3 linked regions of the Arabidopsis thaliana genome follow. Each later gene encodes a partner of the first gene's protein in a complex. Each region holds a gene or a part of one and is shown on either strand. Other genes may lie near its edges.

Region 1 (4,127 bases):
AGAAGGGAAAAATATTTGTGTAGAGAGAAAAGAGAGAGGAGGAGAAGAGAAGAAACGGAGGCGCTCTGCGTTAAACAGTGAGGAGGATGAAGAAGAAGAAGAAGAAGAAGGAAGGCGGAAGGGAAGGAGAAAGATAGTGGGTGCGTTATTGTGTCAAAACTTCTTTTATTCTTTTTATTTTTCCAATCCAGTCCTTTTATTTTCTGTAGACTTTCAATTCGCAACCCACTTTGTTTTCTTCTCTTCACGTAATAGTTCGTTTCGAGATCGGCCCATTATCAGGCCCACTAGATCCTCTTTCGCCGGAACTTGTGTGATTCAAAACGTCTCCGTACCAATTTTGACAGTAGACCGAATTCTGATCGCGACGGTTTTCAATCACGCCGAAGAAATACACAATTTGAATTTGAACTTATAAACCCAGTTCTTGTAATGTTCGACCAAAAACGAATCAATACTAAAACCAATTTTTAGGTATAGCCAAATTTAACCAAATAAACCGGATTACAAATGATTTTATTTGATTTCGAATTCTATAAAACCGGAAATGAAACCGAATCCAACCTAGTAAACCGGATTGCCACTTTTAGGCCATGTGGTCTGTAGTCAAAGATTGATCTTGTATTGAAAATGAAAACTGGAAACGTAAACCAAATAAAAACCAAACCGTAAGACTGATAGCCATTTCAGGGTCTGTATCCAAAGATTGATTTACTACAAAAGTTGTCACACAAAGTTAAGAACATCAAAGAACAATATGATCCACCAGGGAAGCCAAAGAAGTTCTCCTTTATGATGAGATTGATAGGCAAATCTCGCCAGCTTAAACCTGCCGTAGACCCTTATCCTTGAGCAGCATTGGTAAATTCCCCAGTCTTAGGCTGATATAAGTTCTCTTTTGGCTCTTGTTGACTAGCGGAAAAGGCGTGGAACTGATCTTTTAGGCACTTTTCCTTCGAGCTTTAGTCTCCGATAAGACTCCCTGATATGACAAGGTCTGATAGGTCCTGATTCTTTCCTTTCCGCCATAACAACTCGAGCTACAGATAATGTATTGAGGTTCAGTAAATGAGCTTTGTTGGCACATAAACAAAATCATTGGAAATTTTTGCACTGGCTTACCTGTTTCAACGAGTTCACCAACGAACATCTTTGCAATACCACACGCAACAATAATCATTGGCATACCAATCTTCTGACTACCAGTGACACCTATCAATAACTGCATTAACATAAAAGCTAAATGGTTCATATTTGCAATGAAACAAAATTAAGAATGTTGATAACCACAAATCATATAACATATATACCTTCTTCATCTGTGGTCTTTGAAGTGCAGATCTCCTAAAAGATTCATATCTACTCATCTGATCCTCAGTGAATTGCGATAATATGGTTCTGAAGAATTCAACAAACAATCAATCATCAAAGAAACATGAAGAACAATCAAAATTCTACAAAGACTCACTGCATTTTGGCCATTTTAGCAGGATCAGAACTAGTTGGATATTTAGTAAGCTCAACATCCATATTCTCTTCCTCTTCTTCATCATCTTCATCTTTATCTTTGTTCTTAGCTTCAGTAACAACAACAGAGGTTTTAGCTTTCTTCATCGGACGGCGAACATCCACAGGTCTCTCATCTTCATCTTGAGTCTGGTCGATTTCAATTCGTCCGTCTTCACTACCATCACCTCCTCCTCCTCCGCCAACGGGTGATTCCGGTGGCGATTCCTCTTGCTCTTCCTCAATCGCTGCTTCAAACGGATCCTTTGAATGCTTCATTCCTGATTAAAACCTAAACGAAAAAATCACATAATTGAGATCTCAAATTAGGGTTTAGAACGAAGCAAATTGCTACGGATCATTGACGAACCTTGAAGGTGAAACTCAGATCGAATTTCAAGAGACACGAATCTCTAGACCGTTGTTAACAACAACTGGGAGCTCCACAATCTTCCAGGCGGAGAGGAAAATTCATCGACTGTGTTCAATTTCAAGCTTTTCTATAGGAGTGTAGCGACTGTTATAAGTCGGTTTAGTCCAATCAATTGGTGGATCAAAAGAAAAGATCTGAACCGGTTTTTGTTAAACCAACCCAAAAAGTTTCGAGAACCACATCATTGGATTTGGGCTGGGCTCAGTTCAAAACCACTGAATAACTAACTGGTTTTTTTTTTTGGAATACAATGTTGGGATAACGATTTACAACTAGCCAAATGTTATAAATCGAGCTAGACAACAAAATTAAAAATATCAATGATAGTGAATTGGATACTAAAAAGTAAAAACACTCAAATGCTAACTATTTCTATAGATATTGGATAATCATATGTTAAATCAAATGCTTGAGTGATTTCAACATTTTTCTTTGGTCATCATGATTTTTATAATTCCAAATGAATCAAAGAACAGTTATCTATTTTTTCAAATCTTTCACATAATTCATAATTTTCTAGCAAATGTTATTTAGTTTTGCTTGATACTTTATGATAGGAAGATATAATGCTAACCCTTTTTTTCCTCCTCAATTTCAATATAAACTCATATCACCACCAAACCATCATTACAAATTCTAAAAACAAAACTCTATGAAACACATAAAACAGAAAAATATATATTTAGTCTCTTATATATATAACATCACTGCATTTAGAAAGTATTAGGCTGTTTAGCCTGAGAGATCATCTGGACAACCTCTCTCATGGTCGGTCTCTCAACACTATGTTCTTGCACACATAGCATTGCCACAAAGAACAGTTCCATGGCCTCTGCTAATGGAATATTGCTCAATCTCTGGTCAATGATCTTCACCACACCTTGTCTGTTACAGTTTGTTTGGATCTTTGACCATTGCACAATGTCTATCCCTTCTTCCCCAAAATTATCTACTGGTTTTCGACCCGTAATCAGCTCCAATAACACTACTCCGAAGCTGTACACATCGCTCTTCTCGTCTATTCTCAGTGTATATGCATATTCTGCATTCAAGAAACGGATAAAATGGGCTAAGATCAATCATACGTTTTAACTAGAAGTACTGAAATCCTAAGTTTGAATGTTACGTGTGATACAAGAAAGTAGTATTAGGAATCAGTCATGTACCTGGAGCGATGTAGCCGTACGAGCCAGCGATCGAGGACATGCACTCGGAAGCTCCATTGTCTTGCATCATAAACTTAGCAAGCCCAAAATCAGCAACATGAGCTTCAAACTCAGGACCCAACAAGATGTTGTTTGACTTCACATCACGGTGGATTATAAGTGGCGAGCAATCATGGTGAAGATAACACAACCCCTTAGCCGCTTCCAACGCTATTTGCAACCGTGTTTCCCATTTCAAAAACACTCCAGCTTTCCCGTGCAAGACTTCTCCGAGGCTACCATTAGGCATATACTCGTAAACAAGGAGATTCACGTCTTTGTTTGAACAAAAAGCGAGCAATCTCACTATGTTTCTGTGTCTGATTCTACCTAATGTCTGAATCTCTGCGGCTAAACCGTTGTCATGAGATGATCCTTTGGTTATGGTTAAGAGCTTCTTGACTGCAACTTCTTCTCCGTTTGGCATTACCCCTTTGTAGACAATCCCTCGTCCGCCTTTCCCAATCACATGGTTCTCTTTAACACATTCTAATATGTGTTCGCTTCTGAAACCGAGCTTCTGAAACCCTATAAGCTTCCATAAATTCGGGTTGTTCTTTCTCATTCTCCTATTCTTGACCACAGCTAAAACGACGAACACCAAGAAAAACCCTAGTAGGCCTAACCCGAAGAACAACTTGAATTTTGCGGAGATTTCACCTCGGGATCTTGCGTTGTTCTGGTTAAGTAGCTGAGATTGAGATTGGTTTTGGGAACCGTTGCAAGGGTTTGAAGAAAATCCACAGAGAAAAGGGTTTCCAAGGAATGACGTGTTGTTGAAGTAAGAGAATTGCCCTGAAGTTGGTACTGAACCGGAGAAGTTGTTGTGTGAGAAATCTGCTGATGTTAAACTCTTCATGTATCCGAGTTCGTTGGGAAGGCTTTGGTTAAAGGAATTCCAAGAAACATTCAGATAGTTTAGAATCCGAATCTGCGATATCTGAACCGGAATCTGACCGGAAATCTGGTTGTGACTCAAATCT
Region 2 (4,897 bases), on another chromosome or scaffold:
AAAGAAGAGACAGATTCCTCTCTGCCGACGGTTAGCAGTGATCCTTTACCCCCCAGACTCTTAACAACAATTGTCATGGAACCTTGGGTGGGTAAAATTTTTTGCTGCTTTATGGCTAGCTCATTGTCATGTGGATACCACAGAGCTTTGGGCCGGTGAAAATTTGCTCTCTCTTTACTGCAATGAGTTAAATCAAAACTTTTTAACATAAACCACTAAAAAAATGTATTTAAAAAATATATCCAGTGGCAACATTGAGACCACACACGAATGTAACAATGAAGCGTACAAATACAATAAGATGTAAAAATTCAAATGACTCACTTACTTGCTCAATTTGATCTTCATCGTCTGCAATTTAATCGCTGGTGCCGAATGGAAAACTCTCAAACTGTGTACGGTAGATTTCTTAGCATTTCCTTGCAGTTTCTGAGCGCTTTTCCCATTCATATAGAATTTGTCATTAGAAATATTGAATTGCCACCCAGAATTTGATCCACAGCCTTCTTGAAAGGATCCGTCCTTGGATTTTGAAGATCGAGATACAATCCTAGATCCAGCATGAAGTTGAAGATATTTTCTTTCCTTATTGTTCGGAACTTCAAAGATCATTTGCTCATCTTGAAGATCAAATATTAGTTTAGACCTGCTCAAATCTTTATCTGACTCCCATATTATGCTATCTAACCATGACTCATCCCACATATCCCTATCTTGCAATGCAAGTCCACTCAAGCGCCCACGAGCGTCACTATTAAGCTGCTTTAAATTCTCCCGTCCAGCATCGCCATTTTCCCTATAATGATCCTCATCCCACTGAGATTCTAATCTAAGGAGTTGTGGATGATGTCTACTTTTGTTAGTGGACTCATTTGTAGACTGGGAACCTCTTGAGCCAAAAGACTCCAACGGATTTACAAAAAAAGGCTCGAGCATGTTGTTATTGTCCCCTTGAGTTTGCCCTCCAGAGTTCATCACATTTAAGCTTTCTTGTTCAGTCACTGAATTTGAAGCCCTCACCTGTACCATTATACCTGCTGACTCAAGTCCAGATTTGAAGCCCTCACAACAATTAGCACTAAATTGAGGAGAAATTTCCCAGAGTATTAGATGTTCCCATTCTTGCTGGTCTAGAGGGAAAACTTCCATTGTTAATTGAGACTGACAGAGAGATGAATTATCGTCTTTTAAGTCCTGCTTCAACAGTTCACCCATGATACATGAATCCCTTCCTAGCTTGGTAAACTCTCTCGATTCTGATGTAGTATCCCTTACTATGCCAGATTTTACCAGCTGTGAACGCTCTCTGATTGGTAAGGGAACATCCAGCTGAATTTGATCAGTTTTTTTCCCATGAGTGTCAATCCTACCATGGCTCTTCAGGAGTACCTCCTCATCGTCTTCGATAAGCTCAGAAATATCCATAGATATGTATTTGTCTGTACCAAAGAAGGCTATGATGTAAGAGTCTCATATGATAATTGTTTTCATAGAACTTTCTCAGCTATTCTAGTTACATTAAAAGAAGTGATGAATTACAAACAGAAAAGAACAATGCAGAGAGATAACGAGAGAAACAGAGAAAATAATGTATATCATTTCAGAAGCACCAAATATACATATCTACTAAATTCTTGCCAAGAAAAGACAGAGCCACATACAAAAAACTTCTCATGCTTTCGACACCTAATGGCTTTTAGAATTGAACGGGAGATACTGAAAATCTTGAGAAATCATTGTTGTTGTAGATTTTAACATCCCAATGGAAAGCACAAAAAATTCAAAGGCTTTTGAGAATAAACAAAATTAGGAAGCCGTTGCAGATCACATACCTCTATAAGTGATACATCTAATTTCTCTCTTCTGCCGTTTCTTCTGTGGCTCTTGTATAGCAAATATCTCAGAGAATTGTAAGATGACCATACCATCATCTTCAAGATATAACGTAGGCAGCGGGGTGACACGTTTCTCATCCAAAGTAGCTTCTGATAATCCAACCACCAACTCCTGAACGTTTCAATGAGATCACTAACAGAACAAAATCATTCCACAACAAAAAAAGATGTTATCTGAGACACCGAAATCATTCTTGCTGACCTCCTGGACATCTCCTGTGTCCATCTGATTCTTATTTCCCAAGATGCTAGCCTCCTTTTCATGCTTTACGGGCTTTTCCTCCTTCAAGACAACTGCGAAAATAATGTTTAGTGTCTCATAATCACTAACACAAAAGGAATCTAAGAAAAGTTCCAAGAGTTCTGATCTCTAGTATTTATGACGCACTGGACTCCAACTTAACAAGAGATTATTTTCCCGAGCTAAACAAGTATAAGTGTTGAGAAAACTAAACCAATCTGAGATTAATGAAATGACAAAACAAAAGTAGAGAATAGAGTGTGCTAATCGTTTTGTTCAAGAAACGGAAATTTCAAAAGCAAACCTGGTTCCCTCTCTTCTGAATCAAAAGATTTCTCAACTGGTACATGTTCCTTCTCTTGTCCTCCTTGTTCATCATAATCTTCGTCGTCAAACACAGAAGCTCTGGAATTTAAACCACTCAAAGCAAATGCAGCTGATAAGTACTCTCTTTTTGGTAGTAGGTGATCTTCCTCAGTAACTACTTGAAGCTCAGGCCCATCATACTCTTCATCATTGCTCCCATAATCTACACGACATATCATCACAAGTCAGTGAAGCTGATGACCGGGAATTGGTAGTGGCAAATAGTTTCAGTTTGTAACTGCTATGGGTGGGACTTGTTGCGTATATCAAAATCTCAAACATAAAAACCTTCTATTTAATTAACTCAAAACGCTGAGCAATAAATTATCCCACAATAAGTAGATTATGACTAGAGCAAAACTAGGAGAATGCAATACACTAATGAAGAAACCATGTAAGAAACTGCAAATATAACCTGCGGAAGTCTCGTTGTCGTTGGACTCAGACATAATAAAACCCTCGAATGCAAAGAGTGGCGTGACAATTTTGCTTCCCAAATAGCAAAGGAACTACTGAAAAGAATCAGGAGCAAGAACAAATCCACGACTCAACGAAAACCTACAAGGGAAACATACCACCATCAAATTTTCCGGTACAATTAGGGAATAACAACGTTCATACCCAAGTACCAATTTTCGTCAAATTTTGTTGTTTAGTAAGGAACCAAGAACAAAACCCTCGTTGATATCTAACCGAGACGACGACATTCAACGTTATGTGGGATTGGCGGTTTCCTAATTGAGAGTATGTACACATTTAGCCGGAGGAAGTGAAGCGGAGCTCAATCGGGTGATTGGAAGATACAACGGAAAGAAGAAATCGTCTGAGGGATCAAAGAGGCGGGTATTAACATCGGAGTGGTAATTTATAGGGAAAAGTTTATAACCCGCCCCGATTCTGATTTAGTTGTCCCGGGTCCCATTTTTTTTTTTGCACTTCAAAGATTATGTTTATTAATGGTCCACAGAATACAGCCCAATAAAAGCCCATTTAGTTACATATCCCGGGTCCAATAAAGTAAATAATTAGTCAAAAATTATATAATTAAGTAATTAATAATTTTGATGGAAATTTGGCAAGACAAGTAAATAAATAAGAGTAAAAGTGATTTTCTCGCATATTACTCTTCTTCTAGATTTTGGCGCTTTTTTAAAATTTACGTTAGAAATACTAAATAAAACAAACAAAACCTATGCCCTGTTCGTTTTCCTGTCGCTGGATCCAGCGACAGCGACCAACGACCAGCGACAGCAACCAGCGACAACATATATTGTTCGATTGTCTGTCGCTGGACTCAGCGACCAATTACATCAACAATCGCTAATAATTGTCGTTGTGTTGTTCGTTTGACTGTCGCTATAAACAGTCGCTATATTTTTTTTTAAAATTAATTATTTTTGGTACTAATTTATATTTTAAAATCAAAATGTAAATCATATATATCATACACCATGAGAAAAATAAATTAATAGATTTATTTATTTTAGTTTTATCAAATTTAATTTGACTATAATTAGTTTATGTTATTTGAATTTAATTTATTTTAACTTAATTTAATAAGAATTATTTTAATTAAACTAGAACTCAAACCTTTCTTGATATCGCAGAGAAAAATATTATAAATTTATTTATATAATAATTTCTTTAAAACAAATCTAACTCCAAATGATGCATATTCTAAATTTCGTAGTTATTCAATAGTATATATATAACTAACCGGAAAAAATAACTGTAAATATTTTGACAGAAAATTACAATATAGGAAGGTTGCAATAAAAGACACAAGCGAGAAAAAACAACCATCAATATTTTTTACGGAAAGTTGCGATTAAAAGACACAACCGTTCAGAGTGCAAAAAGACATTTATTTTAAGTTTAATTTAATTTAATTCTGTTTAATTTAATTATTTTTAATTATTCTTTAATTTATATTTTTTGATCGCTAAATTGTTCGTTTGCATGTCGTTGGATCCAGCGACTAAAACCAGCGACTAATCGCTGAAATCAGCGACTGATCGCTAAAAATTTCAGCGACCAAAAATTGCGGTCGCTGGTCGCTGGCGATTGTCGTTACTTTTGATCGCTATGCAAACAAACAACTTTTGGTCGTTGTCGCTGGTTTCAGTCGTCAGCGACAGGCAAACGAACACAGACAAGCAAACGAACACAGGCAAACGAACAGGACCCTAATTTACCAAAATGAAACAAAATATAATTATCCATGTCCAAAAAGAAAAAGAAGAACAATAATTGTCATATGACAAAATTAAAGGATATACTTGTTACGGTGTATATTGTATAGTCTCTTTATTTCATTCTTATAGTAACAGACCCAAACCAAACCAAATCCTACGCAAAATTAGTCTATTTTTTTTATTTTATCTCGAACTTTGAC
Region 3 (4,682 bases), on another chromosome or scaffold:
ATCTTTTGGATAACAACATCTTCAGAGATCCATCTGACACTGTGGACGAGATTGAGCTGACATATCAGAGTGAGATGAACTCTTCACTGCTGGACACCAATGGTTCAATCAAGTCCCAACCGAACCAAAAGCGTCTGGAGATCGAGGAGCTTACTCTTCAGACACCAACAAACGGAACCACATTGGTTCACAACTTATCTGCAGATGTATATGACAAGGATCACCTACTGGTTAGTTCACTTTGACTACTTGTGTTTAAAGCATGTGACTGGTAGATTGGAAGTTACTTAAAAATGCCATTTAACAGATAATGGGTCCTAGTGGGAGTGGAAAAACTTCGCTGCTAAGAGCAATGGCTGGTCTTTGGAGGTCAGGGAAAGGAAAAATCACGTTCTACCTCGATCCTGAGGTAGATTTTACACAGGAGAAATCTGATACTCAGGAAAATTCAGGGAAAAGAGGAGACGTATTGTTCCTTCCACAAAGGCCTTATATGGTTCTGGGATCTTTGCGTCAGCAATTGCTTTATCCTACCTGGAGTGCAACTGTGGAGGAGACGACACCTGGTGGCAGTAATATTGACGGTACTCAGTTTAAATTTGTGTCTAGTAACAACCATTTCTTTCAACTCCATTTAAGTTTATGCAAGCAGATTATAGAACCCAAAAGCAAATCGACTGAAGAAAAAATGCGTTGATTTTGTTAGGTTCACCACCTCTGCTGATTAGAGAGGACGGAAATGAAAAGCCGACAACAGATGATCTGATGCGGACTCTAGAGAAGGTTTGTCTTGGACATATAGCGGATCGCTTTGGTGGTCTTGATTCGATACACGAGTGGTCCAGTGTTCTCTCACTTGGTGAGCAGCAGCGCCTTGCCTTTGCACGGTTATTGCTGTCTCAGCCAAAGCTGGCGCTCCTGGATGAATCCACCAGTGCGTTGGATGAAGCTAATGAGGTACTTGTTGGTTCTCCTCTCATCTATCATTTAGAATAATATCATGTACATGTAGCGTTGAGCCATTAAAATTCCTCTTGATGCCCAGGCGTTCCTGTACCAGCAAATCCAGTCGGCTGGCATTACATATATAAGCATTGGCCACCGCCGGACTTTAACGAAATTCCATAACAAGATCTTACAAATCTCAACGGCAGACCCGAAGAGCAATGAACGTAACTGGCGAATAGAGGACGTGGATGCCCAAGATTCTTTGTACGGTAGATTGAATCAAAAGGAGGTGCCAAGTGAAAGCTGATCAAAACCTGATTGATTACATAAGAGACAGAAGCAGCAGGTAAATCTGCAAACGGGTGTCATGAAACATATAAGAAACATGTTTGGTGTCCATTTTGTATATAATCTACCAGACTTGACGTTGACTGAAGATGCAAGTAAATAGAGAGATTGATACAGATACGAGTGCAACGAAGTTCTGATTAAAAATAACACGCGAGATGAGCTAAAAATTCAAAACCGGCTGAGTATTTATCATAAGCCCAATAAATCTAACGATGGGCCCATTTGAGAAAGCCTGATAGAGTGAGAAAATGTAACACGACTGACTCGACTCAGTCGCTCAAAGTCGAAAAAGAAAGAAGGCGCAAGGAGGATGGTGACGAAAGAATCCATTGAAGTGATAGCTCAGAGCATTGGACTCTCCACTCTTTCTCCGGACGTCTCAGCCGCTCTTGCTCCCGATGTCGAGTATCGCGTCCGAGAGGTCATGCAGGTATATCATCAACTTCAACTTTACTTTTGCCCTCTAATCTCCTCTTTAACTTGTCGTCGCAATCTCCAGGAAGCTATCAAATGCATGCGTCATGCTCGACGCACCACTTTAATGGCTCATGATGTCGATTCTGCTCTTCATTTCAGGAATTTGGAGGTTTCCTCTTCCTCTCTTCTTCTTTTATTTCATACCGTTGACCCTGATTTTGACTTTTTTTTGTATAGCCTACCTCTGGCTCCAAAAGTATGCGGTTCAAGAGAGCTCCTGAGAACAGAGATCTATACTTCTTCGATGACAAAGATGTCGAGCTCAAGAATGTAAGCTTCATTGATTGGCCATGAATGAAGAAGATGGTGAAATGTTGTTTATTGTTATTAAGCTTCCCTTCATGGTCTCTTGTGCAGGTTATCGAAGCTCCTCTACCAAATGCACCTCCTGATGCATCTGTTTTCTCATTGGTTGGCAATTGATGGTATTCAACCTTCCATTCCACAGAATTCTCCTCTCCAAGGTATTTCTTTTGTCTTCTTTTGCATCACCTACTACTTCTCCTTCTAATCCCTCTTCCATGACAATTTGTAGCCATATCTGACCTTAAACGATCGGAATATAAGGACGATGGCTTGGCTGCTAGACAGGTGCTTTCTAAGGACCTTCAGGTTATTTTACTCCCTTCTTTTTTTGGGTCTTTACCTCGCTCTTTGAATGCTATATAATCCTTGCTTGCTCTCGATGCAGATTTACTTTGACAAAGTCACGGAGTGGGCTTTGACTCAATCTGGCTCCACCCTCTTTAGACAAGCACTCGCCAGCTTGGAAATTGATCCTGGACTCCACCCATTAGTTCCCTTTTTCACTTCTTTCATCGCTGAAGAGGTTTGTCTTTGTAATCCAACACTTCTAGTCTTGACTTTTATTCTAACTTGACCACATTTTCACTACTTTTTTTGTGCTTGCAATTTCTCCAGATTGTCAAAAACATGGATAATTATCCAATCTTGTTGGCTTTGATGCGTCTTGCTAGAAGCCTCCTTCATAACCCTCATGTACATATTGAGCCATATGTAAGTTTTGTGCGCACACTTTTTTTTTGTTTTTTTTTGTTTCTCTTCTCCCTTCTCCTCCTTCTGTTGACTTTTAACTTGTTGTATTCTGTTCAGCTGCATCAGTTGATGCCGTCTATTATCACTTGCCTTATTGCCAAGCGCTTAGGAAGAAGGTCATCTGATAATCACTGGGACTTGAGAAACTTCACTGCCAGCACAGTTGCTTCAACGTGCAAAAGGTTAATGTTACATTCTTGCTTTGTGATTTCATGCATCTTATACAACCATATAACTTGCAATCACATTAGTGAACTTTTTACAGGTTTGGACACGTTTATCACAATTTGTTGCCACGTGTCACAAGATCACTGCTTCATACCTTTTTGGACCCAACCAAGGCACTCCCACAACACTATGGGGCAATTCAAGGGATGGTAGCCCTTGGGCTTAATATGGTACTTCCTCTTGATGCTTCTTGATTATCATAACGAAGAGTAGCACTTTAGGTTGTGCGTCTAGAATTTTTACATAAGAAAGCATAAGTTTAAAACTAATAGTAGCATGATCCGACATCCTCGATAAAGTTATTAAACCTGCAATTGAACCTTAAGATATATATCCTTTGGTCGTCCGTAAGTATTTTCTTGCTTTATACCTTTGTCTAGGTTCGCTTTCTTGTTCTCCCAAACCTAGGGCCGTATTTGCTGCTTCTTTTACCTGAAATGGGACTTGAGAAGCAGAAGGAAGAAGCTAAGAGGCATGGGGCTTGGCTTGTTTATGGAGCGTTGATGGTGAGTATGCTTTCTAGTTTGATACAGAAATTAGAAAACTTGTTTGCTTTCAATCTCGTGTTGCAAAACAGGCAGGAGAGCATATAAACTTTAACTTTCCATAGGTGGCAGCTGGTCGATGCCTATATGAACGGCTTAAAACATCTGAGACACTGCTGTCTCCTCCAACTAGCTCTGTCTGGAAGACAAATGGAAAGCTCACCAGCCCCAGGCAAAGTATAAAATCTGGTCTCATTCTTTTTTTTTCTTTTGGCGTTCTAAACACGGAGATACGCGTTCTTAAATAATTTTTTTCTTCGGCCAAGGTAAACGCAAAGCAAGCAGTGACAACTTAACTCATCAACCACCACTGAAGAAGATAGCAGTAGGGGGAATTATACAAATGAGCTCCACACAAATGCAGATGCGCGGAACCACAACAGTCCCTCAACAGTCCCACACAGATGCAGATGCACGGCACCACAATAGTCCCTCAACAATTGCTCCGAAGACTTCAGCTGCTGCAGGCACTGACGTCGACAACTATCTCTTTCCTCTTTTTGAGTATTTTGGTGAGAGCATGCTTATGTTCACCCCCACACATGAGCTCAGTTTCTTCTTGTAATAGATTATTGACATGGTAATTGTATGTACCACAATAAATACATCTATATAATATTTCGAAATGTCTTGGAAATCGTCAACTTTATAGTGGGCATTTTGCGAGAGGTAAAATCAACCAGTGTTAATCTTACATAGACATATGTGTACTCTAATTATAGCTTGGCCTGGACCACAAATACACATCTTTTCCATGCTACTCCCCATCTCCATCTCCATCTCCACTATTAGTTGTGAAGAACGGAGTCAGAAAGTTTTTGTCCAACGCGGTGAATGATGTAGTGCTGCAAAGTTTTGTCAAGTGAGTCCCAAAAAATTGCAAATATCGCTTTTTACTCAGGAAAACATACTAAGCCATTCTCTTATTCTTACGTTTTGTGAAACTCCTTCAGCTTCATCTTGAACCTGCTTCCTGATGATGATGTATCCTCGTCAGATGAAGCTCCAATGCTAAAAGGAGGAGGGACATACTGATGATCGCTCTCTTCAAAGCCCTAACCACGTATCTGGGAGCGT

The links. The genes of interacting proteins can lie anywhere in the genome.
Region 2: TAF11 (region 1) and HAF2 share a complex: the UniProt entries of both Arabidopsis thaliana proteins name them as parts of the TFIID complex.
Region 3: TAF11 (region 1) and TAF6B share a complex: the UniProt entries of both Arabidopsis thaliana proteins name them as parts of the TFIID complex.

Annotation. Positions count from the first base shown.
Region 1 is NC_003075.7:10,951,450-10,955,576, reverse strand, and holds TAF11 (TBP-associated factor 11), read right to left. Parts: upstream 2,038-4,127; 5' UTR 1,877-2,037; intron 1,799-1,876; 5' UTR 1,786-1,798; coding exon 1,469-1,785; intron 1,399-1,468; coding exon 1,311-1,398; intron 1,223-1,310; coding exon 1,123-1,222; intron 1,041-1,122; coding exon 913-1,040; 3' UTR 501-912; downstream 1-500. Other genes in the region: AT4G20290 (uncharacterized protein), read left to right, coding at 1-418; BAM3 (Leucine-rich receptor-like protein kinase family protein), read right to left, coding at 2,653-2,981, 3,106-4,127. UniProt on the Arabidopsis thaliana protein: TAFs are components of the transcription factor IID (TFIID) complex that is essential for mediating regulation of RNA polymerase transcription.
Region 2 is NC_003074.8:6,572,602-6,577,498, forward strand, and holds the start of HAF2 (histone acetyltransferase of the TAFII250 family 2), read right to left. Parts: upstream 3,013-4,897; 5' UTR 2,952-3,012; coding exon 2,918-2,951; intron 2,682-2,917; coding exon of another isoform or gene 2,666-2,681; coding exon 2,441-2,665; intron 2,190-2,440; coding exon 2,098-2,189; intron 2,008-2,097; coding exon 1,833-2,007; intron 1,440-1,832; coding exon 329-1,439; intron 178-328; coding exon 1-177. UniProt on the Arabidopsis thaliana protein: TAFs are components of the transcription factor IID (TFIID) complex that is essential for mediating regulation of RNA polymerase transcription. Core scaffold of the TFIID complex.
Region 3 is NC_003070.9:20,288,991-20,293,672, forward strand, and holds TAF6B (TBP-ASSOCIATED FACTOR 6B), read left to right. Parts: upstream 1-1,609; coding exon 1,610-1,729; coding exon of another isoform or gene 1,730-1,798; coding exon 1,799-2,046; intron 2,047-2,133; coding exon 2,134-2,240; intron 2,241-2,311; coding exon 2,312-2,388; intron 2,389-2,467; coding exon 2,468-2,605; intron 2,606-2,697; coding exon 2,698-2,793; intron 2,794-2,889; coding exon 2,890-3,014; intron 3,015-3,097; coding exon 3,098-3,230; intron 3,231-3,440; coding exon 3,441-3,566; intron 3,567-3,670; coding exon 3,671-3,782; intron 3,783-3,871; coding exon 3,872-4,170; downstream 4,171-4,682. Other genes in the region: ABCD2 (ABC transporter family protein), read left to right, coding at 1-230, 308-584, 707-957, 1,046-1,255; NHX5 (sodium hydrogen exchanger 5), read right to left, coding at 4,363-4,450, 4,539-4,660. UniProt on the Arabidopsis thaliana protein: TAFs are components of the transcription factor IID (TFIID) complex that is essential for mediating regulation of RNA polymerase transcription. Not redundant with TAF6.